Diceros bicornis minor: one gene and its partner. The protein of the gene in region 1 interacts with the protein of each later gene in a pairwise test. Links are inferred from orthologs where the notes say so. Each region holds a gene or a part of one and is shown in the gene's direction. Other genes may lie near its edges.

Region 1 (11,935 bases):
TCTGCTGAAATCTATCTTTTCATCTACTTTGTCAACTTTTCCTCCATTTTCTTAAATATAGTATCATAGTTATTTTAAAGTCCTTGTCTACTAACTCCTATATGTGGACATCAGTTGATATAGTTCTAATGTTTATTTTTTCTCTTCATTATTGGTCACTTTTATGCCCCTTTGCATGTTTCGTAATTTTTACCTGTATTCCTGACACTGTAGATAGAAGACGTAATGAAGCTAGATGACATCTTCCACCACAAAAGTGCCCCCTTTCCTATGTTAGGAAGAGAAGAAGAGGGGCTGGCCTACCTTATCCAATCAAAAATTGAGCTGGATCAGGGTTGGGCTACAGTTTCATTAAAACTCAGTACACCTCTGCTTTCTCCCTGTTCCTTGGGCGTAGCCCTCCTGAGTTTTTGGTTAAGAGCCTGGAAAGTCTCTGTCTGCTCATGCCTGAAAGTTTTGGTCTTAGGACATTTTGAACTTCAATTTTTAACTTACCACACCACAGAGGTTCAAAATCCGGCAAATGTCTTGACAAAGAGATTGCTTGTGTGTTGCAGGTCCCTTTCCACTAGTGGGATTTTGGTCCTCAGCACTGCAAGATCGCAGGAGATTTCATTCTGCCTTTTTGAGTGGCCTCCTGTACTTCCTGAGAACTCAGTAAATGTCCCATGAGGCGAACTGACTTTGCATTTGGGCCTTGAGCTTGGGCCTCCTCTAGTTTCCAATCCATCACATCGGCCCCAAATGATCGCCAAAAGGTCTGCTAGTTTCAGTTTCCCCCAGGATAATCCCTGTGCTTAGGGCCAGCCTGATCCTCAGCATTTAATTACCCCCAGAAAAGACAATGGCTGGTGATCACCTAGGAAGGAATCTTCCCTCTTTGGAATTTTAGTCCATCTAGTCCTCATCACTGTCTGATGTCTTTAAAAATATGAGTATTACAACATCAATTTTTTTTTTTAGTTGTAATGGAGTGTTGTCTGTTGTGACCTATCATATCCTACCCAGAAGAAGAAGTCCTATTTGCAAAATGTGAAAGAAATCTAGCATTCATAGTCCTGCAACAGACAAAATTTGGGAATAGATTTAATATGAGGCGTGAGGAAGAAGGAAATATCAGGCATGACTCCTAGGTTTCTGGGTAGGAACTGGACAGATGGTGGTGTAATTCACTAAGGGATCACAATGATCTGACATAGACAGGCGGAAAATCATGGCAGCTGTTTAATATAGAATGGTTCATAGGTTTCTACCTTTAGGAAGTGAAATAAGGCAGTGCAATTCACTAAAATGGGGACCACTGGAAGGGAATCCAATTTTAAGGGCAAGATTGTGAGTTTGGTTTTTGATGTGTTGACTTTTAAGTATCTTTGAGACTTTAAGTAGTCAGGTGGATTTAACGATTTGAGTCTCAGAGGAGAAGTGAGGGCTGGAGATATAATTTTGAGGGTAATCAGCATATAGGAGGTAGTTGATGACATGGGTGTGAATGAGGCTGCATCGGTTGGGAATACAGAGTGAAAAAGAGAGAGAGGCTAGGCTGGAGTCTTGAGGAACGCCAATATTAAATGGCGTTTTAATTTTGTCAATAAAAAGTTTTTACAAATGTGTTTTCTTATTTTTTATAGAAGTACCTATGTAATAGCCTCGATTTTACCTCTTAGCCCACAAAGCCTAATTAAATCCTCTTCTTTGATTTATATTTCTTTCAGTGCACCAAAATGTCAAATGATTCTCATGAATTATTCCTTTTTGCTGGTTAGTACACTATATCAGCTATCTTTGGAAAACTCTGCCTATTATCCAAAGTTTTCATTGGCAGTTCTCCATCATTTCTGGAAATTCTGTAAAAGGAATCCACAGACCTGCAGAGCTTCACACACTATTTTTCAAACTGCAGGTCATGATGCAATGGGTCGTGAAATCAATTTAGCTGGTCCTGATGAGTACTTTTTAAATGAGGTAAGTAGGAGGGAAAATACAAAGTACATCAGATGCAGTAGGCATCTACACTGTCTTCCTTGGTGAACTTAACCAGTTTCATGGCTCAAAATGCCATGTACAACGCCCAGATTTACATCTCTAGCCCAGGCCTTTCTCTTGAACTCCACGACCACTTGGACATCTCCACTCGGACGTCTCATAGACATCTCAAACTGAAATATGAACCCCAGATCTTCCTTCCTCAAATAGCTCCTTCTGCAGCCTTCCCAAGTGACGGTAATTTCATCCTTCTACCTTTGGCCCTTTAGGCCTAAATCCCTAGAGTCATGTTTTACTTCTCTCATTTTCTAACACACCATATCCCATCCATCAGGAAATGCTATTAAGTCTATCATCAGAATCCAACCACTTCTCATCACTCCCCCACTACTACCACCCTGGTCCAAGTTACCATCACCTCCTCTCTCACCTACATTCATGCAGTAGCCTCCCAACAGGTCTCTTTATTTCCACTCTTGCTCCAGCTATAGTCTATCATCACCACAGTGGTCAGGGCAATCCTTTAAAACAGGGGTCAGCAAATGTTCTGTAGAAAGCCAGAGAGTAAATATTTAGGCTTTGTGGGCTAAGAGGTAAAATTGAGGCTATTACATAGGTACTTCTATAAAAAATAAGGAAACACATTTGTAAAAACTTTTTATTGACAAAATTCAAAATATAATAATAATTGAGTATAATATTTTTATAATACAGGTCTACTAATGAGAAAAACGGAATTCTTTTTTTTAAAAAATAGATATCAATTTGCTTAACTGGAGTTCAAAGCCAGTGTTCCCTAACATCAAATCAACCACAAACGTTTCTCTGTAAAAACCATTCTTAGTTGATGGCCATACAAAAACAGGCAGTGGATGGATTTACTACACAGGCTGTAGTTTGCTGACCTCTGCTTTAAAAGATAATCAGATCATATCACTCTTCTCTTAAAACCCTGTGAATTAGTTTTCTATTGTTACGTAACAAATCAGCACAAATTCAGCAGGTTAAAACAACACCCATTGACTATCCTCACAGTTCTGTAGATCAGAAGTCCAGGCAGGCTTGACTGGGTTCTCTGCTTAGGGTCTCACAAGGCTAATCAAGGTGACCACTTACACGGAGGATCTGGGAAAGAATCCTCTTTTAAGCTCATTCAGGATGTTGACAGAAGCCAGTTCTTTGTAACTGTGGGTCTGAGGTCCCCATCTCCTTGTTGGCTATTAGCCAGAAAGCACTCTCAGCTTCTAGAGGCTGCCTGCATTCTTGTCATGTGGTCCCCTCCGTCTTTAATGTCAGCAAAAGCACATTCAAATCTCCTGCTTTGAATCTCTCTGATTTCCCTTTCCACTACCAGCTGGAAAAAATTCTCTGCTTTTAAAGGTCTCATCAGACTGGGTTAGGCCCACCCAGATAACTGTATCTCAAGGTCAATTTATTTAGGATTTTCATTACATCTGCAAAATCCCTTCACAGCAGCACTTAGGTTAATGTTAGATTGAATAACCAGGGGACAAGAATGCCGTGGGCCACCTTTAGAAATCTGCCTACGATACCTTGCAATAACTTCCTCCTCAGAGTAAAAAGACAAGGCACTTACAAGGGCCAACACGATTTGTGCTACCTGCTTTCCCCGAGCCCCTGTGCATGTCCTATTACCTCTCTGATGTTATTTCCCCCTACTCTCCCTCTGGCTTACTCTGTTCATCCACACTAGCCTTCCTGCTGTTCTTGAACATGCCAGACACTCTCTCACCTTAGGATCTCCACCTGGAACGCTCTTCTCTCAGATATCTACTTTGTTAACGCCTGTATCTCCAAGACTTAGCTCAACTTTCACTTTTTCAATGAGGCCTATCGGACCAGACTATTTAATACTACAACCCGCACTCTTGCTCTTAGCACTGTCTGTTTCCCCTACCCTGTTCTTTTTTTTCCTTCTGTACTTATCACCTTTAACACGTTATATACTTAACTTATTTATGATGTTTATTGTCTGTTCCTCCTCGCTAGAATTAACCTCTCAAAGGTAAGGATCTTTGTCTATTTTTTGTTTACTGATGTATTTTTTTGTTCACTAAACATATAGCACAGTGGCTGGCACAAAATAGGTGATCAACAAAAATTTACTGAATCAAGTTTTGGGAAACTCCTGTTTCAGTTTTCTACATATGTATATGTGTACTAGGTTGTGATGCAAAGTGTATTTCTTACTGAGGAGTGTAGTCAAGAGAGTTTGAAAACTACTGGGATTAGACTATATGACCTCTAAGGTCCTGTCAAATTTGAGCGCTTATGAATTTCTACGTGCAGCTAATAAATCTCCGCTATATCCTTTGGGATATGGCAGGGCTCACAGCCTAGTGACTATAGCAAGGCATGATTATTGAAACATTGTACTGACACTGAAAAAGCTAAATAGCATCCCTACCTGTTCTATAACAGTAGGTTAGAAAACACTGATAATAGCAAGAACTGCTGAATGCCCCCAAATATAAAAATCTGAGCTTAATCCTTCCATTAAAAAGAGATATAACTTGGGGCCGGCCCGTGGCGTAGTGGTTAAGTGCGCGTGCTCCACTGCTGGCGGCCCGGGTTCAGATCCCAGGCGTGCACAGACGCATCGCTTGTCAGGCCATGCTGTGGTAGCATCCCACATAAAATGGAGGAAGATGGGCACAGATGTTAGCTCAGGGCCAGTCTTCCTCAGCAAAAAGAAAAAGAAAAAAAAAAAAGAGGAGGATTGGCATGGATGCTAGCCCAGGGCTGATCTGCCTCACAAAAAAAAAAAAAAAAAGAGATATAACTTGAAAGCAAATGACAAAAGAGAACATTTTGCAGATCAAAATTTCCCTGGTTAAAGCTTCCACTCATGGGGCCAGCCCCGTGGCTTGGCAGTTAAGTACGCATGCTCTACTGCTGGTGGCCTGGGTTCAAATCCCGGGTGCGCACCGAGGCACCGCTTCTCCGGCCATGCTGAGGCCGAGTCCCACATACAGCAACTAGAAGGATGTGCAGCTATGACATACAACTATCCACTGGGGCTTTGGGGAAAAAAATAAATAAATAAAATCTTAAAAAAAAAAAAAAAAAAAGCTTCCCCTCACTTACTGAAGAAGCGAAGAGGAGTGAAGAAAAATATCTCTCACAGTCTCTGCTGTAGAAATTGTGACCTGAGTCGACATCGGGAGCAAAGACCACTTCTGAAGGACATACGATTTCCACTCATCCACGGGCAGATCCATGTTACTTTAGATCTATAAAACGAATAAGAAAATGAGGAATTCAATTTGTACAAATGCACAATTCTAGTCAAGATTTCATTTAAGCCAGCATGAAGCAACAAAATCAATTCTCGTGGTCTTTTTCTATAGCTGTTTATATGCTGAGGAAGGATCTATATTCTCTCACACCAATTCACTCAACATCCTTTCATTCAGAAATATTTACCGAAAGCCTACTTTGTTCTAGGCACCACTAGGTGATCAGCTAGCCACGATCTGTCCTCTTAGCCCTCCATCTACCCTAGGCTCAAGTCAGAAACCTGAGAGACATCCCGATTTTCCTTTCTCACTCTGCCCAGCAACTATTAAGTAAATATCTCTCTCTAGTTCGGTTTTTTCTTATCCCTAGGTCATTCCTTTAGTTCAAGCCCTCACTATCTCTTGTCTGGCATTCTTTCTAGAGTGTCATAACTAGTCTCCATGCCCTCAGTAACACCCTCCCCCCATTCAATCCATCTTCCACAGTGAGGCAGATGTCAGTCCTTTGCCTTAAATTCATCAATAGCTCCTCCTAGCACAGGGAAGCCAAGTACAAATCCCTCATTATTTGACCCTTGCCTTACTTTTTTTTGTGAGGAAAATCTGCCCTGAGCTAACATCCATGCCAATCCTTCTCTTTTTGCTGAGAAGACCAGCTCTGAGTTAACATCTATTCCCAATCCTCCTCCTTTTTTTTTCCCTTTTTCTCCCCAAAGCCCCAGTAGATAGTTGTATGTCATAGTTGCACATCCTTCTAGTTGCTGTATGTGGGATGTCACCTCAGCATGGCCACACAAGCATTTCGTGGGTGCTCGCCAGGGATCCGAACCTGGGCCCACCAGTAGGAGAGCACGGGCACTTAACACGGGCCGGCCGGACCCTTGCCTTACTTTCTAATGCTCAAGTCTCACTTCTTCCTCTGTATCCTACTATCCTGAGCTACTCAAAGCTATCCCCAGCTTGCCAGGCTGTTCATCTGCCTAGTTTTTGCATAAACTATTCATGCTTCCGGGAGCATCCCTACCCTCACTTGCAGTCCAGCTGGCAAATTTCCACACATCTTTCAAGACTCAGTGCAAATGACAACTCCTCCGGGAAGCCTTCCCTGATTTTCCATCCGTGATCACAGCACACTGTCTCTCTCTCCTGGGGCCCATACCCCGTCTACCTTGAGTTACGGCTACTCACAGCGGAAACTCCTGGACAGACTGTGCTCTCTGAAAGCAGGGACCGGGTCTTATTTACCTTCAGAGCCCCCCACTGTGCCAAGCGCAGGGTCTGGCACCGGCGGGAGCTCAGCACCGGGCTGCTGAAGGAATCAAGTCACTGCTTCGACGACATTTAGCAGCAGAGTTATCAGGGAGCAGCACTAATTCTCTGGGCTACCTGTCGGTCTGCCCGCCAAAGACTGAGCCGGTCTGTTTCCGAAACCCAGCTCGGAAAGCTCCCGGAACTGGCCACCCGCGCGCTTCGCTGCGTCCGCGTCACCGTCGGCGCGCCCGGCGGCCTGGCGCCCCGCCCCCGGGCCCCGCCATCCTGCGACCAGGCCCCCAACCTGGGCACGGGCGGATCACCTAGGCCGCCCGCCGCGCCTCGGCCAATGAGAGGGCTGCTCGGCCCCTAGGCCCGCCCCTGCGCCGTGCGCACGCCGGGAGGCGGGAGCGGCGCACGCAGCGCCTCGGGCCAATTGCTTTGGAGCGTGGGGTCCCCGGGGAGTGAAGTGCGGGCTGCGCAGAAGCCGGAGCGCGGGAGTTGGCGCGTTGGAGCCATGGTGGGGTACCTGAGCGAGGGGGCCATTGCGGTGAGAAGACGGCCGCGAGCCGGGCCGGCGGGCTAGGGTGGCTCTGCGGGTGGAGAAGGGGGAGAGGAGCTGGGGGCCGTGGGGAGAGAACGCGAGAGGAGGAGACAGCGGGCGCGGGATGCGGGGGGGAACCGCCGGCTGACTCCCTAGAATCACACGGTTTTTCCTATCGTCTTGTAAACATGCTCATGTTTTTCCTGCTTAAGAAAACGAAGCAAAATAAACTGTTGATTTTCCATCTCCCTCCCGCGCCCTCTGTCTCCTCCCCTTCCTCCGCCCACGGCCAAACTTCTGCAGACTTGTCTGTTTTCAGCTATTTCATGTCGTCATCTCCCATTAACGCTTTAACCGACTGTAGTCGGTCCCTTCTAGGATCACATAGAAGTAACCTTGGCTGAAGGTAGCAGTCCCTCCAAGTCGCTAAATCCAATAGACAGGTTTCGGTTTTCAGTTTACCAGCGTTCTCAGCAGCGTTTGAGTCTCTTGAGTATTCTTTCTTTCTGATAACACCCTCTACTGTTGGCTTTTGTGGCTCAGGTGGGCTGGTCTTTCCCAGTCTTATTTGCAGGTCCCTCTTTGTAAATTTCTGTTGACTCATGGCTGTTCTCTAGGCTCTATTCTCCCAGGACAACCTCATTACCATCCATATGTCAATTGCTCACTAATGTCTTTGTCCGGAGCCACCTTTACTCTGAAAGACAAACCTTTGTAATCTGTCTGCCTACCTGATATCTCAAAGGCATTTTAAATTCAACATGTCGCAAAGCAAATACATTATCTTCCTAAGTTTGGGCCTCTGATCCCCAGCTGGATGAATGGCACCATTATCCGTTAAGTTATGCTAGCCAGAAATTGTGGAATCATTCTTCCTACAAACTCCATCAGCCTGAGGTCCAGTCCATCACCAAGTCCGGTGTGTTTTACTACATGTATCTCTTAAATCCATCTACTTCTCTCCATCGACATTGACACCATCGTTTCTGGCCTGGACTACTCACTTCCATCCGGCATAATCATCCTCCTGCCATTCCCATCATAGCATATTCCCACTTGTTCTCTCCTCCTTTCCAGGCTTTTTTTTTTTATTTAAGTTCCTGGTATATTCCATACTCTTGCTTTCCACAGGGCCTTTGACCATTCTTTTCCCTCTGCCTACTGCCTAGGTGGCTCTTTAGTCTCCCTTCAGTGGCTAACATAATCTTCATATCTCAGCTCAGTTACTTCTCAGAGAAACCTTCTTTGACTTCCCTTGCTAGGCTAAATCCCTTTATTTTGAGACCCTAATTCCTGTTTGTTCACTTATTAGCTGTTATGATTTTGGGCAGGATACTAAACTCTGCCTTTCCTCTTCTGTAAAATGAGACTAATGATACCTAGTACTTCTTGCCTAAGGTTAGTGGGAGGATTAAGTGAGCACTTACATTTAAAGTGCTTAGTCCCTGTCTGATACAGAGTAAATGCTCAGTATATGTTGCCTATTATTAATAATCACAGATGTAATTTTACATTTATTTGTTTATTTGATTAATAACAGTTACTTTCTGTCTCCCCCCCAATTGTAAATTCTTTGAGGCCTGAAATTATGCCTGTGGTTTTGCTCAACATAGTCTCTCCAGTACCTGGAGCAGTGCTGGCAAGTTTGAGGTGCCCAGTAAATGTTGTCTAGGTGCCTATGAGGCAGTGAAAAGAAAGGGGCAGAGATGGATGGGGAAGAACAGTTGGCAGAGTCGAGTGAATATTTGAGTAAATTAGGAATAATTAGTCCTGAGAAGTGATTGCGAATTGTAGTCCTCATTTACTTTACAGCTGCTACCTTATGTCTTGAAGACAAATTAGGAATTGTTCTTCACTTTTAAAAAGAAGGATCCTGGTGTTATTTAAATAATTTGATTAGTTTTTGCTATATTCAAAATTTTGGAAACATTTCCAGTGTTAGGTGAAGTATTACTTAGGTTTTATTTATAAATGACCAAGAAAATTTTTGTGTTTGTGGTGACGGAGTGTGGAGAACCCTTGTCAATTTTGATTACCGGCTAAAGCAAGTAGTGTCATTTCAGTTCAAAAGACACAGGCCTGAAAGGATAAGCAACTAACACAAATAGTAGAGGCATTTGGGGCAAGAGCTAACATCATGAAATAAGAGATTATGCATGGAACTATTGTGGTAAATAGAATAAAGAGCATTTGTCTCGTAAGTAATCGGTAATATAAAGAAAGGGGAAGAGAACTAATTTTTGACCATTTCCAGTGTGCCAGATACTTTATAGTAGTCACTATTTACAGTAACACTGTAAGGTAGAATTTTATCATTACCCTCGTCTTACAGATGAAGAAATTAAAGTGCAAAGAAGGTAAATAATTTGTCAGTGGGGTGAGGATTTGAACGCATGTGCCCTTGACTATTACATTCTTTTGCTTTGTATTTCTGTTAGCAATGTTAGTTTGGGAAAGTTAAGGCAGTTTTGTCTCAAGTGTACATATCATGCTATATGTCCTAGAAGAGTAAATCTTATATTCACTATTAATGATGACACAAATTAAAAAGAATAATAAAGTAATACTTGCATGCGGTTTTCAAATCAAATAGAACAGAAAGGTGTTTGATGAAGTTACTGACCCACTGCCCCACCTTGCCCCAGTTCTGTTCCCTAGAAACAGCTACTTTTTAAAATCATGTTTATTGAAGTTCAGTTTGATTTACCTGTAATAAAAACTATAATACATATGATGAATACATATAATAAAAACTCATCAAACTGTGTGCAGTTTGTTGTATATACTCCTGTAACCACACCACCCCAGTCTCCTGCTGCTTCCCCATCCCCTGCTCATTCCCAGGCACCACTGCTCTGGGTTCTGGTGTCTATCTCTTTAAGTTAGTTTTGACTGTTCTAAAACTTCATATAAGTGGAATCAAATAATAGGTACCCTTTTGTGTCTGGCTTTCTCTCAGCAAAATGTTTTTTGAGGTTTATCCATGTTATTTCAGTGGTTTGCACCTTTTTAATGCTGAGTAGTATTCCATTGTATGAGAAAACACAATTTGTGTATTTCCCTATTGTTGTTGAACATTTGGGTTATTTTCATTTTTTGGCTATTATGAGTGAGGAGGCTATGAACATTTATATACAAGTCTTTTTGTGGAAATATGTTTTCATTCCTCTGGGATAAATACCTAGGAGTGAAATGGCTGGGTCATATGGTAACTGAATGTTTATCTTTATAAGAAATTGCCAAACTGTTTTCCAAAGTAGTTATGAGAGTTCTAGTCGCTCCAAATCCTCACCAACGCTTAGTTTTGTCAGTTTAACTATTCTAGTGAATGTGTAGTGGTATCTGACTGTGGTTTTAATTTGTATTTGGTAAAATTTTAAAAATTGGGTTGTGTTCCTATTAATTAGTTGTAAGAATTCTTTATTTAATCTGGATATGTCTTTTGTTAAATAACAAGCATTACATAAGTTTTCTCCCAATCTGAGGCTTGCCTTTTCATTCTTTTAATGGTGTTTTTTTGAAGAACAGTTTTAAATTTTGATGAAGTCCACTTTATTTTTTTTTTCCTTTTCTGAATCGTGTTTTTGTGTCCTAAGAAATCTTTGCCTACCCCAAGGTCACAAATCTTTTCTCCTGTGTTTTATTCTAGAAGTTTTATAGTTTTAGTTTGTATTCAGGTCTGTAATCCATTTCAAGTTTATTTTTTTATGTATTGTGTATGGATCATTTTTTTCCCATGAAGTATTCAGTTGTTCTAGCACCATTTGTTGTCAAGACTATAGTGTTCCGTTGAATAACATTGTTTGTTACCTTTGATAAAAATTAATCTATATATGTGTGGGTCTGTTTCTGGAATGTCTATTCTGCCACTGCTCTATATGTTGATGCTTAGACCAATACCGTATTGTCTTCATAACTGTAGTTTTATAGTAAGTCTTGAAATTGGATAGTGTAAATTCCCCAGCTTCATTCTTTTTCAAAATTGTTTTACTGAATCTAGGTTCTTTGTACTTTCATATACGTTTTAGAATTAGCTTGTCAGTTTCTGATAAAGAAAGCCTGATGGGATTTTGATTGATAGAACATTGTATTTATAAATCGATTTGGGGTCAATTGACGTCTTACAGACATTGAGTCTTTCAAACCATGGACTTGGTATATCTCTCATTTATTTAGGTTTTCTTTTTCTTTTTTTTTTTTTTTGATGAGGACGATCAGCCCTGAGCTAACATCCATGCCAATCCTCCTCTTTTTTTTTTTTTTTGGTGAGGAAGATAGGCCCTGGGCTAACATCCGTGCCCATCTTCCTCCACTTTATATGGGACGCCGCCACAGCATGGCCTGACAAGCGGTGCGTCTGTGTGCGCCCAGGATCCAAACCCTGGCTGCCAGCAGTGGAGTGCGTGCACTTAACTGCTACGCCAGGGGACTGTCCCCTATTTAGGTTTTCTTTAATTTCTCTCAGTGTTTTGTACTTTTCAGTGTGCAGGTCTTGTACATGTATTGTTACACTAGGTATTTATTTTACTTTTGATGGTATTAAAATTTTTTTTTTTTTTTTGCTGACGAAGATTACCTGTGAGCTAACATCTGTTGCCAATCTTCCTCTTTTTATTTTTTGCTTGAAGAAGATTAGCACTGAGCTAACATCTGTGCCAAAGTTCCTCCACTTTGTATGTGGGTGGATATATATCAGCATGGCTGATGAGTGGTGGAAGTCCACAGCCAGGATCTGAACCCACGAACCCAGGCTGCTGAAGCAGAGCGTGCCAGACTTAACCACTACGCCATGGGGCTGGCCCCTAAAATAGTATTTTTTAAAGTTTCATTTTCCAGTTGTTTGTTGGTAGTATATAAAAATACAATTGATTTTTGCATATTAACCTGGTATCCTGCA
Region 2 (10,215 bases), on another chromosome or scaffold:
ACTAGGGTAACTTTGGAGAAATGGTGAGCATTAAGTGATATTTTGAAATACTGCCACAAATGTGGTGTGTGTGACGCTATAGGAAGACATCTGTGACTTCTGTTAGTCACAGTGACCAAGTTGTAGGTGCTGCTTGTATCACTATAGTCTGTTGCATACATTCATAATTGAAAAAGATGCTAAATTCAAGTCAGTGGTTACTGAAAATAAAGATGTTATTTTTCCCCTTTCAAGTTTACATACTCCCTGTATTCGGCCCCAGGGTTAAGAACCTGTGGGTTACTTTCTATCTGTTTACATTTCATTATCTGATATATCTCAAGGGCCTCTGTCAAATAAAAGATAAACATAATACTTAAGCTTTCTTTTATCAAGTACTGTAGGTGGTGATAAGGGCTCATAAAAAAATGCCAGTATCTATACTTTTTAGATTTACAGATTTACTTGGTGTCATTCACCCGTATGCACATTGTTCATCATAACTGCTAAATAATAGTTTTAAAAGGCAAATATGGAATAGACCACACATTCATTGTGTTTGATGTGAAAGAGAAACATGTCAGATTGATTGCTTATTATACTTGACTAATTTTGAATATCATTAAATATTTTAATTAGCTTTCACTAGCAAATCATTTAATAGTGGTTTACCTTTTCATTGTTGATGTCTCTGAGAGTGTCTAGATCAAATGAGGCTGTTGTTTTACAAGAAATGAAGTTCATTGTTTTAGGATCAATAATCTACTTATTAAAAATCTCCTTTTTGTCTCAGTTTATGTTAAAAATTAAAATTTATTGTGTATTTAATTGAGTAATTACTTGATGTTATTATGAAGCATTTGCCTGCGTACTCTATAAAAAGTATGTGTTTCACAACAGAAGAAATAACAATAGGACCACAGAATTTAAATATATGTTTAGAGTTTCTCTGTGTACTTGACATTTCTAATAGTATATGTGATGAAAGAATGATTTAAGTGTTTGTTCTGTGATAGTCTTAGATTCTATAACTTGGGGATGAATTGCTTAATCTGGTATTTAATATAGAAGCTTCAATAAGTAAACAATAAATGCTTTCTCATAGAAAATCTTATACTTTTCTTTAAACAGTTTAGCTAATCATATTTAAATATGCTTAGTTAGTTAAATCCTTTTGGGACAAATGGTATGTATAATCTGAAGAATTATGATGCTTCTATATTGCTATAACAAAGTTTTTTTTTTTTTTCTGTCCTAGAATTTAGGATATGTTCTCCTACTTTACATATCACTTATGGCCTCTGAAAAGGTCTTACTTAAAAACATTGTGTCCTGCAATGGGAAATGACACTATATGAAGTTATCTCATGATGGTATTTTTTTGTTTTTATCTTACAGACCCTGAATTGATAATACATTGTATCTTTTATGCAGTATTTTTCATGCAGTTTAAAGAATTTTCACTGCAAATTGCATATAAAATTATTTAAAATGTTGTAATGTGATATATTTATTTTAAAATACCTTTTGTATTTTTTGGAAACATTGGATAAATTTGGATAAATTACTTAATTCTAATAATCTCCCTTGATGAGATGTTTTTCTTATATAACTGCAGAGAAGCCATCTAAAGGTTTAACAATATATTCAGAGTCCTATAGTCCACCAAATACATCATTATTAGAATAAATATGTAGATTGACTTAGATCAAACATTTGTTTTGTGTTTTCCTACTGGAACTCAAGGAACTGATGATGATGAAAATGGCTTTTCCATTTCTTATGCTTTTAAAGTTATAGGAGCCTCTTAAAGAACAACTCTGTGTATAGATATAGTTCCAAATTTGTTAATCTGTAACCTTCCTTTTTCAGAGATCTGCAGTGATAGCTAAGAATCTCACTTAATTAAAGTAGCCAAAGAAACCTGACTACATTAGGGTTTATAAATCATGGTCAATGACAGTAATGGAATTATTGTTTTCATGACAATAATATTATCCTTCCTATTTGAAGATGACACCCCTGATAGTAATTGCTATTTGTGTGCATGCTGTAGTTGAAAAGATCTGTGTACAATCAATAGTTCTTCCAGTGTCTGCAGCAAGATACCTTGACAACTTAGAACTATGAAGCCTTTCCTCAAATTATAAGTAAATCAGAATTTACATTAAAGAATGACAGATCATGCTCAGACTAAGTCAATCTAAAATCCGAAGTGGTATCTCCACGGCAAACTTAAAATGTTCTTTTTAGAATATTGCTCGTCTGGTTTTGATACTAACGTTTCATCTCAGAGTAAGGGGAACGAGATTATTACACTGACCCAAAGAACCTTTGGGTTCTCTGTGTAGTGTCTTAGAATAATACAAGCACAGTCACACTGACAAGGATCTCCATCCTAATGATTTTCAAATTAAGGAATGGCTTCAAATTAGGAAAGCTTTTTGTTCACCTAGCTTTGGAATAGCATGATGTACGCTAATTGCTCACTTTGTCTGCAGTATTTTTTAGAGATCAAATGGGCACAGTGGTAATTTTCATTAATCTCATACAGAGCAGCTAATTAAAATTTCCATTATTATCCATCCATTATCTAGTTGTTTCCTTTGTTCAGTATCAGAACAGGATGTTAATAATAAGCCATTTTTGTATTACAGCCCTATTAAATATAGTGAGAATTAGTTTAATCTATTGCACTGTTTTGTTTTTAGGTGATTTCTTTAATATTATGTTGCACCATATTGACTATGCTAAAGATACTTTGACATTTTGTAATAGAGATTTCAGAATTAAATACTTGTTGCTTTAATTTTTCATTCCATAATAAGAAAAAGTGACATATAGTGGAAAAAGAAGTAACCTGAGGACCAGAATATTAGTGTTTTATTCTCACAACCTCACTAATTATGTGAACTTTCCAATCACCTTGATTCTCTATTTCTGTAATGAGGGTATTAGAAGGGCTGGTCTAGCCTTTACATGCTATCATGTTTTCAAATATGAACTTATGTTAAAACCCCAGAATCCTTCTAACTTGATAAAAGGCATTTGTTTTATAAGGTTATATATTCTCTGTCTTGCTCCATTAGATTGTTTGCTTCCACTCCTTATAACCACAGAGTATCCTAAATTATACAACTTAAACTTATTTCTAAGACCTGGGGAAGAGGTAAGTCCCAATGTGATGGGCTGGCCCAGTTGTTCCATAAAGAGTATCTTAGCCACGACCGTAAGGCAGACAGGAACTAACATTTTCTGAGCAGCTTACTCTGTCTATGAGGCAACACATAGGAAATGCCCATTTTAGGCACTTTATATGCATTGTCTTAATCCTCGTAACAAACATGTGGGGTAGGTGTTTATTACCCGTATATCATGGATTAATGAACAGGTTTATAGAGATTAGTTCAATAGCCTGCTCACAGATTATCTAGAAGGTAAGTGAGGGAGCCGTGATTCAAACCCAGTGGCAGTTTGAGCTGTTTGAGCTGTTACTAGCATCTCGAAATATATTGTAATGGAACATCTTAGAACTGTAATATTCTGAAGCAAAACTAAACTGAGTTTGGAAGCTTCTTCATGTTGAAACTCATCAGTCATTCACCCGTTTGTTTATTAACCATCTGTCCATCCATCCATCCATCCATCCATCCATTCATTCATTCAATGAATATGTATTGAGTACTTACTGTGTGCCAAGCACTGTGTTAAGATCTGGAGATACAGTGGTGAACAAGGTAGGCAAGATTCTTGCCTCATAGAGCTTATGTTTTAATGAGGAAGACACAGTAAACAAATAAAGTGCTAAACAAGATAAACTTATATAGAGCTAATACTATAAATGAGATTTAAAATGATGTTGGGATGATAACTGGAGTGTGGAGGAGAGAAGACTATTGGGCTGAGACTTAAATGATGAGAGCCAGCAATGGAGAGGTCAGGGGTAAGAGTCTTTTAGGCAGAGAATACAGCAAATACAAAGGTCGTTCTACAGGAATAAGCTCTATATACAAGCCTCCAGGGGAGGATCAGTAGGGCCTTGTTATCCATTAATTAAGAAAACAAGTTTGAGGATCATACGGAAGTGGTATGTGACTGTAGACTTGCAAAATTTTATGCTATAAATGTTTACTTGCTATTATTCTTTGTGGATCTGTAGCCTAAAGAGATGGGTAAATATGTTATAGATACGTGGAAATGATTTCATGGTGATGTTTTTACTTACGGTGCATCTATGTGGTGATTCATCTAGTAGACTTCTTGAACATCTACTGTATATTCTAACAAAGCAAGAAAAATCAAGTCAGTGGCCATTACACAAAATATGGGAGCTGAAAGTATGAAGTTGTATTCCTTGTTCTGTAATTGTAATGGACAGATTCAATAACAGCACACTTTTGTTGGGGCTCACTAAAGTCAGTCACTGTGTTAGATGCTTGGCATACATGGAGTTCCCAGTCTAGAACTAGAACTTATGACCTCTGTCCCAATGTCTTAAGTGCTGTAAGAGTGACAGTGCCACAGCGCTATAAGGAAATACAATTCCCCTACATAGACTTTAGCAGACTTTAAACATTTACTATTTAATGGAATTTTTAAAAATTCAGACGTTGAGAATGATTGACAATTACTATATTGAGGAGGCGTTCTCAATAAAAAGCCAAAGAGTATGAAACCCTAGGGAATCCATTTCTCATTATTAACACATTGGTTTTTTAAAAAATTCTATATCCTCTAATGATATGACTTCTACCAAATGGAAAAAAAAATTGCTTTCCGTATTTTAGCTTAGATACTTAGCAGAAACTGAGTGTAATTCATATGAACTTAGAAAATGGGACTTATGCTAGAGTTTTAATTCAGGGGGATATGTTTGTAATATAGGAAAGGGGAAGTTATGATTATGTGTGTCTAGAATGTGAAACTATGAGTTATTAGTACAATGAATGTGTTGATGATGTTTTTCTCCCAGCCTTTTCCCCAAACTACTTACATAGTTATGGCAAGGTGATGAAGCTAAGGAGCTGTGATGAGATAATGAGTTCTAGAAATAACTCCCGTATATTGGAAATTAAGCTAAAAACTAGTCGCTATCAGATAAATGCATTCAATGACTTTTTAAGATTAATCTACAACATGGGAGTAACATAGTTAGGAATGAATAGTTGGGAATTGGTGAATGCTTTAGACTAATTTGATTAACTAACATGCTAACTGGAGACTATATTGTTTTACATTTAATAACCGTTTTCATTTGTTTTTTGAAATAGGCTGATACTCTGATATATCTCAATGGATTGGGGTTATGTATAATGTTTTATATTCAATTTTGTTCACTGTATTTTGTGGAATAGAATATAAATATCTTAGCTAGGAAAATTAATAAGATGATTTCTAAATGTTCATTCTGTGGTTAAGAAGAACCAGCTAACGTTAATCCTAATGCTTGGACTGTAAATTTAAGCATCCTTGTCAGTGACACTTTATGCAACTCAAGTCCATATTCTATTCAGGCCATGAGCACCAGCAGTGTAATTTTCTTTTAAATGAGGCTAGGGAGAGTGTTGACATATATGCAATATGATTTTACCACATCAATTCTGCGACCAAGAATTTTTACATGCCTAGCTCTCTGCACACATTATGCAGTAAAATATTCACATATTCTATGCATTATTTTATTTTAAAAGGTTTTTTAAAACCTGTCATTTGTCTAAAGTGGTATTTATTTGTTTATTTTTTACAGGGAGGACTGAAAAACAGCAAACATGAATGCACCCTGTCTTCACAAGAATACGTTCATGAATTACGATCTGGTATTTCAGATGAGAAACTTCTTAATTGCCTAGAATCTCTGAGAGTTTCCTTAACCAGCAATCCTGTCAGGTAGGTGGTTCTTACTGTTTTGGTATGATTCATACAATTTGTACTGTATATAATTGTTGGGAATATAATCAGTTATGTCATTGTAACCTCAAGATTTTCTGAACAGAAGTCTGAAGTTAGCTAATAAAACAGCAGTGTCTGATTATGAGGTTGTAAACATTTAAAAAATATATCATCTTAATATCATCTCTAATAACAGAATTTTAAGAATACAAATATTACTTGGATGTTTAATTCCTCTTTGATTATATAAAACATGGATCCAGAAGTTAAATATCCACATTTACATGGAAATCTGTGTACTCATATAACAATTATTATGTATTTATTTGTAAAACAAATGAAGTAATTGGCTCTATGATATTATTCCTTTTTAACCTGAGAAGTAAATATAATTTTATATGCTTCTAAAAGTTTTAGATATACTATTCACACATTTCTGTAATTTGGGATGGCAAAAATTAAATTATTTTAAACAATAAAAGAAATGAGAGCAAGTTTTAATAAACTCCTCAAAACTATACACATTTAGGCTATTACCTAACTACAAAGAATTTTTAAGGAAGAAGTTCCTTGCCAATGGTGGATTCCAGTAACTGATGTTGCTTTATTAACCATAAAAAAAGCCTTTAAATTAATTACATCCAAAATAAAATATTTTTATAAGAAAAAATAGACTTTCAATGTAATATGAAAATATTCTGAGATCTGCTTACATAATTGCTAGAATCTTAAATTCAGAAATTCCTGGATAAGGGTATATAGAAACTGTATTTTGATTTTACTCATGTTTTTCCTAATATATAATGAGGCTGACATCTTGTATTTCTCTGACCTATCCACAGAGCCTTGAAAATAATTTAGAGCTCAGTTATTCTATTTTGATTTATGTATAAATTGAAATATATCACATTATTTATTTTTTCCTTTAGTGCATTTGGTAGAATAACTGGGAATTTACAATTTTGTAATAAAAAGTTTAAAAAGACAGTGGTAAGATGTGACTTACTTTTGAATATGATAATCATTCAAAGGTAGCTGTCTTGCCATTTCTTCCAGAATGCTTCCAGTTTTAATGCTTTGAACAAGGATGTGAGTTCTTTAAGAACAGTAACCATCGTGGTGGTTCCCTCTCACCCCCATCCACCCCCCTAGGCCCGCCCATCCCCCCCCGCCGCCCCCCCAACCTACTGTACTGTACCATAGTGCACTTATGATAGGCTCTGAAAAATTTTGTTAAATGGTTAATTGATTGAATGAGTAAATGAGTCTTTAAGAAGTGACTATAGAAGAAGTTGTGGCATTGAGGAATGAAGGGGGGGAAAAACCTAGTAAAAATGTACTTTTATAAAGGCGGCAGGAAAGGCTTAAAATTACATGGGGGGCCTTTTAAAATGCAGCCCAGCAACCGCCAGACGACTACAAAGAATTATGGGATCAGGCAAGAAGCTGGTAGGTCCTGATTGGCTCCAGAGGTCGCGTGAGGCTGCTTGTGTCGTCACAAGCCCAAGCCTTCGCGGGAAGCGGTCTGTGGAGGTCAGAGCCGCCTTTGGAACTCACCGACTAGATCCGACCGCACCTCCTCAGCTGCCTGAGCTGCCTTCAACATGAGTAAGAAAGGGTTTGGGAGCTATGGCAGCATCTCTGCCGCGGGTGGAGCCAGCGGAAGCAATGACCGACCGTCTCAGGGCGGCGGCACAGCTCCTGCTGCTAAGCCCTCAAGATCCAGGGCCCGAATCCAGGATATTATACCTTGTTGTGTAAACCAGCTGCTCACCTCCACTCTGGCTGATGATGTCTTCACGATTAGGGGAATTGAAGTTTCCCGGGTCTCTATCGTGGGGATAATCCGAAAGGCAGAGCCGGCTCCAAACTACGTTCTTTACAGAATTGATGATATGACCACCAAGCCTATTGAGGTCCGCCAGTGGGTCGGCAGAGATAAAGCAAAGCAGGGGATGACTCCGCTGCCAGTGGGAGTATACGCCAAAGTGTTCGGTATCCTCAAATGTTCTGCGGGGGTGAAGAGCCTTGAGGTATTGAAAATCCGCGTCCTGGAGGACATGAACGAGTTCACCGCACATATTCTGGAAACGGTCAACGCGCACATGGTGCTGGATAAAGCCCGCCGAGCGGCCTCTGGGCAAAATGCACCTGTTGCCCCACCGGAAGTTGATGAGGCTCAGGAGTACGGCGAGTACTGCCCTGACTTCATCTCGAAGGAGGTGCTGCGTTTGATTCATGAGTGTCCTCGACAGCAAGGCAAGAGCATTCAAGAGCTCCAAACCGAGCTTTGCAGCCTGAGCATCGGGACCATCAAGCAAGCCATTGATTATCTGACCGTCGAGGGCCACATCTACCCCACTGTGGATGGGGAGCATTTTAAGTCCGCGGATTGAAGCGGCGAAAAGATTTTTCATTTTCTGAAGACCCTCGCCTCCAGCTGTGAGTTTGACCTGTTGACTTTTAGGAAGTAGATTTTTTTTTTTTTTTTTTGTGAGGAGATCAGCCCTGAGCTAACATCCGCCAATCCTCCTCTTTTTTTTTTTTTTGTTTTTTTTGCTGAGGAAGACGGCCCTGGGCTAACATCTGTGCCTATCTTCCTCCACTTTATATGGGACTATCTTCCTCCACTTTATATGGGACGCTGCCACAGCATGGCTTACCAAGCAGTGCGTCGGTGCGCGCCCGGGATCCGAACCAGTGAACCCCGGGCCGCCGCAGCGGAGTGCGCGCACTTAACCGCTTGCCCAACCGGGCCGGCCCTAGGAAGTAGATTTTTTCAGCAAAAGATCTCAACTGGCATTCTTTGGAACATCACTGCTTTTCCAACTGCTTTGAACTTTTCTGTTTTTTTAACATATTTGAAGCTCAGAGGGAGATGGGGATGGATAAATTGGACTTTTTATAGGATTTACCAGCAAGCAAATGAAAATACTCCTGGATGGATGAATTTGGGGGAGAAAAGGTATAGAGAAAGTTGAAAATTATTATTTAGTTGTGTGGGAGCTTCTTTTTCTGAAATAGCCGTGTATTAGAAGAAAATAGATGCAGTCAGGGAGCCAGCTAAGAGACAAAAACAAAAAAAAATTTTTGTTTTTACATTAGACTTATTTTCTCTGTTTGGATTTAGCTTATTATAGTCATATTGTTATCTCTTGTTAAATACAGTAATTAATTCAGATGTGCTAAAGATAGCAACTTATGAATTCATATGCTCAGTTCAAGTGTTTATTGAGTGATTTGCTCTTATTACCATAGGTTTATGTTCATAAAAAGTAAGATTATACCATGTTTATATAATGTGGTCATCTTTGAATACTTTTTTCTTAAAATGTGGTTAATGATTACTTCAAATGCGATATGGCAATATTTGGATTAAATTACAATCTGTTGTAGTTGCATGATACATGGATGCCACACTTTCTGTAAATTTTTTGTTCTGATGTGTTATCTGTAGTACTAAATGCTCTTCTTTATGTATAACAGGTTTTGTTCTTATAGATTAGGTAACCAAATAAGAAGTAATTATAAGAATATTAAGTTTAGCAAGTTTAACTGAAATTTATTTGAATGTTTTATTAAAATATTTTTGCAAAATCTTGAATTTCCTGTGTAATTTTTTTCTAAACACATTTGAAAAGGCCTTTTTTTTGTTTTTGAGGATTAATAATTTTAATTATCCAGAATAATTTTTTCTCTTCTCTATATAATACCAGTAACATATCGTAGTTGTAATAATACATTTTAGTATAGATTATATTAATTACGTGAGACTTTTAAATAATTCAATAAAGTAAGCCCTCAGTTATATGTACACTAATGATGGTATCTTTTAAGTTACTAGTTTTGTTACATTAGAGAAAAGAAAAAAATATATACATTCAGACAGGTAGAAGAGACAAGCATCACTTGCCTTAATTGAGTCACAAAAAGAAGGTGCAAAAACAGAGAAAATACCATTCCCAGTAATCCACAGTCAGGAAAACTGTATATGACCTTTCTTTGCCAGCCTTTACAAAAATTTATCATCAGTTCCTGCTTAAGCTTTCTGAGGCATAAACTTCACTTTTCTTCCCCTCAAAAGCAAAGAAATCATAAATGACACTCTTTTGAAAACCACAGATGGTTAACATACTATAAACCTATTTGTCATTTAAATTATCAGTTGTTTTTGCAAATTCTAGTTTTCATAAACATAAGAAATTTGGAACCACTCTTTTTTGAAAAAGGTTGCCTGCCCTGGGGAAAATCACACTGGGGGAAATGCAACGAGGGGCATATTTCTTCCTCAGAATCTCATTGTGGAAAGAAATAGTCTAGGGGACATATCATTCTTTTGTGATATCA

Evidence for each region.
Region 2: the proteins of RPA1 (region 1) and RPA4 interact in binary tests that used the Homo sapiens proteins (3 or more experiments, as listed by UniProt). The link is inferred for Diceros bicornis minor from reciprocal best matches to the Homo sapiens genes RPA1 and RPA4.

Annotation. Positions count from the first base shown.
Region 1 is NC_080757.1:15,949,114-15,961,048, reverse strand, and holds the start of RPA1 (replication protein A 70 kDa DNA-binding subunit), read left to right. Parts: upstream 1-6,935; 5' UTR 6,936-7,011; coding exon 7,012-7,044; intron 7,045-7,433; exon of another isoform or gene 7,434-7,511; intron 7,512-11,935. Other genes in the region: SMYD4 (SET and MYND domain-containing protein 4), read right to left, coding at 5,092-5,225. UniProt on the Homo sapiens protein: As part of the heterotrimeric replication protein A complex (RPA/RP-A), binds and stabilizes single-stranded DNA intermediates that form during DNA replication or upon DNA stress.
Region 2 is NC_080781.1:90,646,189-90,656,403, forward strand, and holds RPA4 (replication protein A 30 kDa subunit), read left to right. Parts: upstream 1-6,944; 5' UTR 6,945-7,472; coding exon 7,473-8,264; 3' UTR 8,265-8,343; downstream 8,344-10,215. Other genes in the region: DIAPH2 (protein diaphanous homolog 2), read left to right, coding at 5,726-5,865.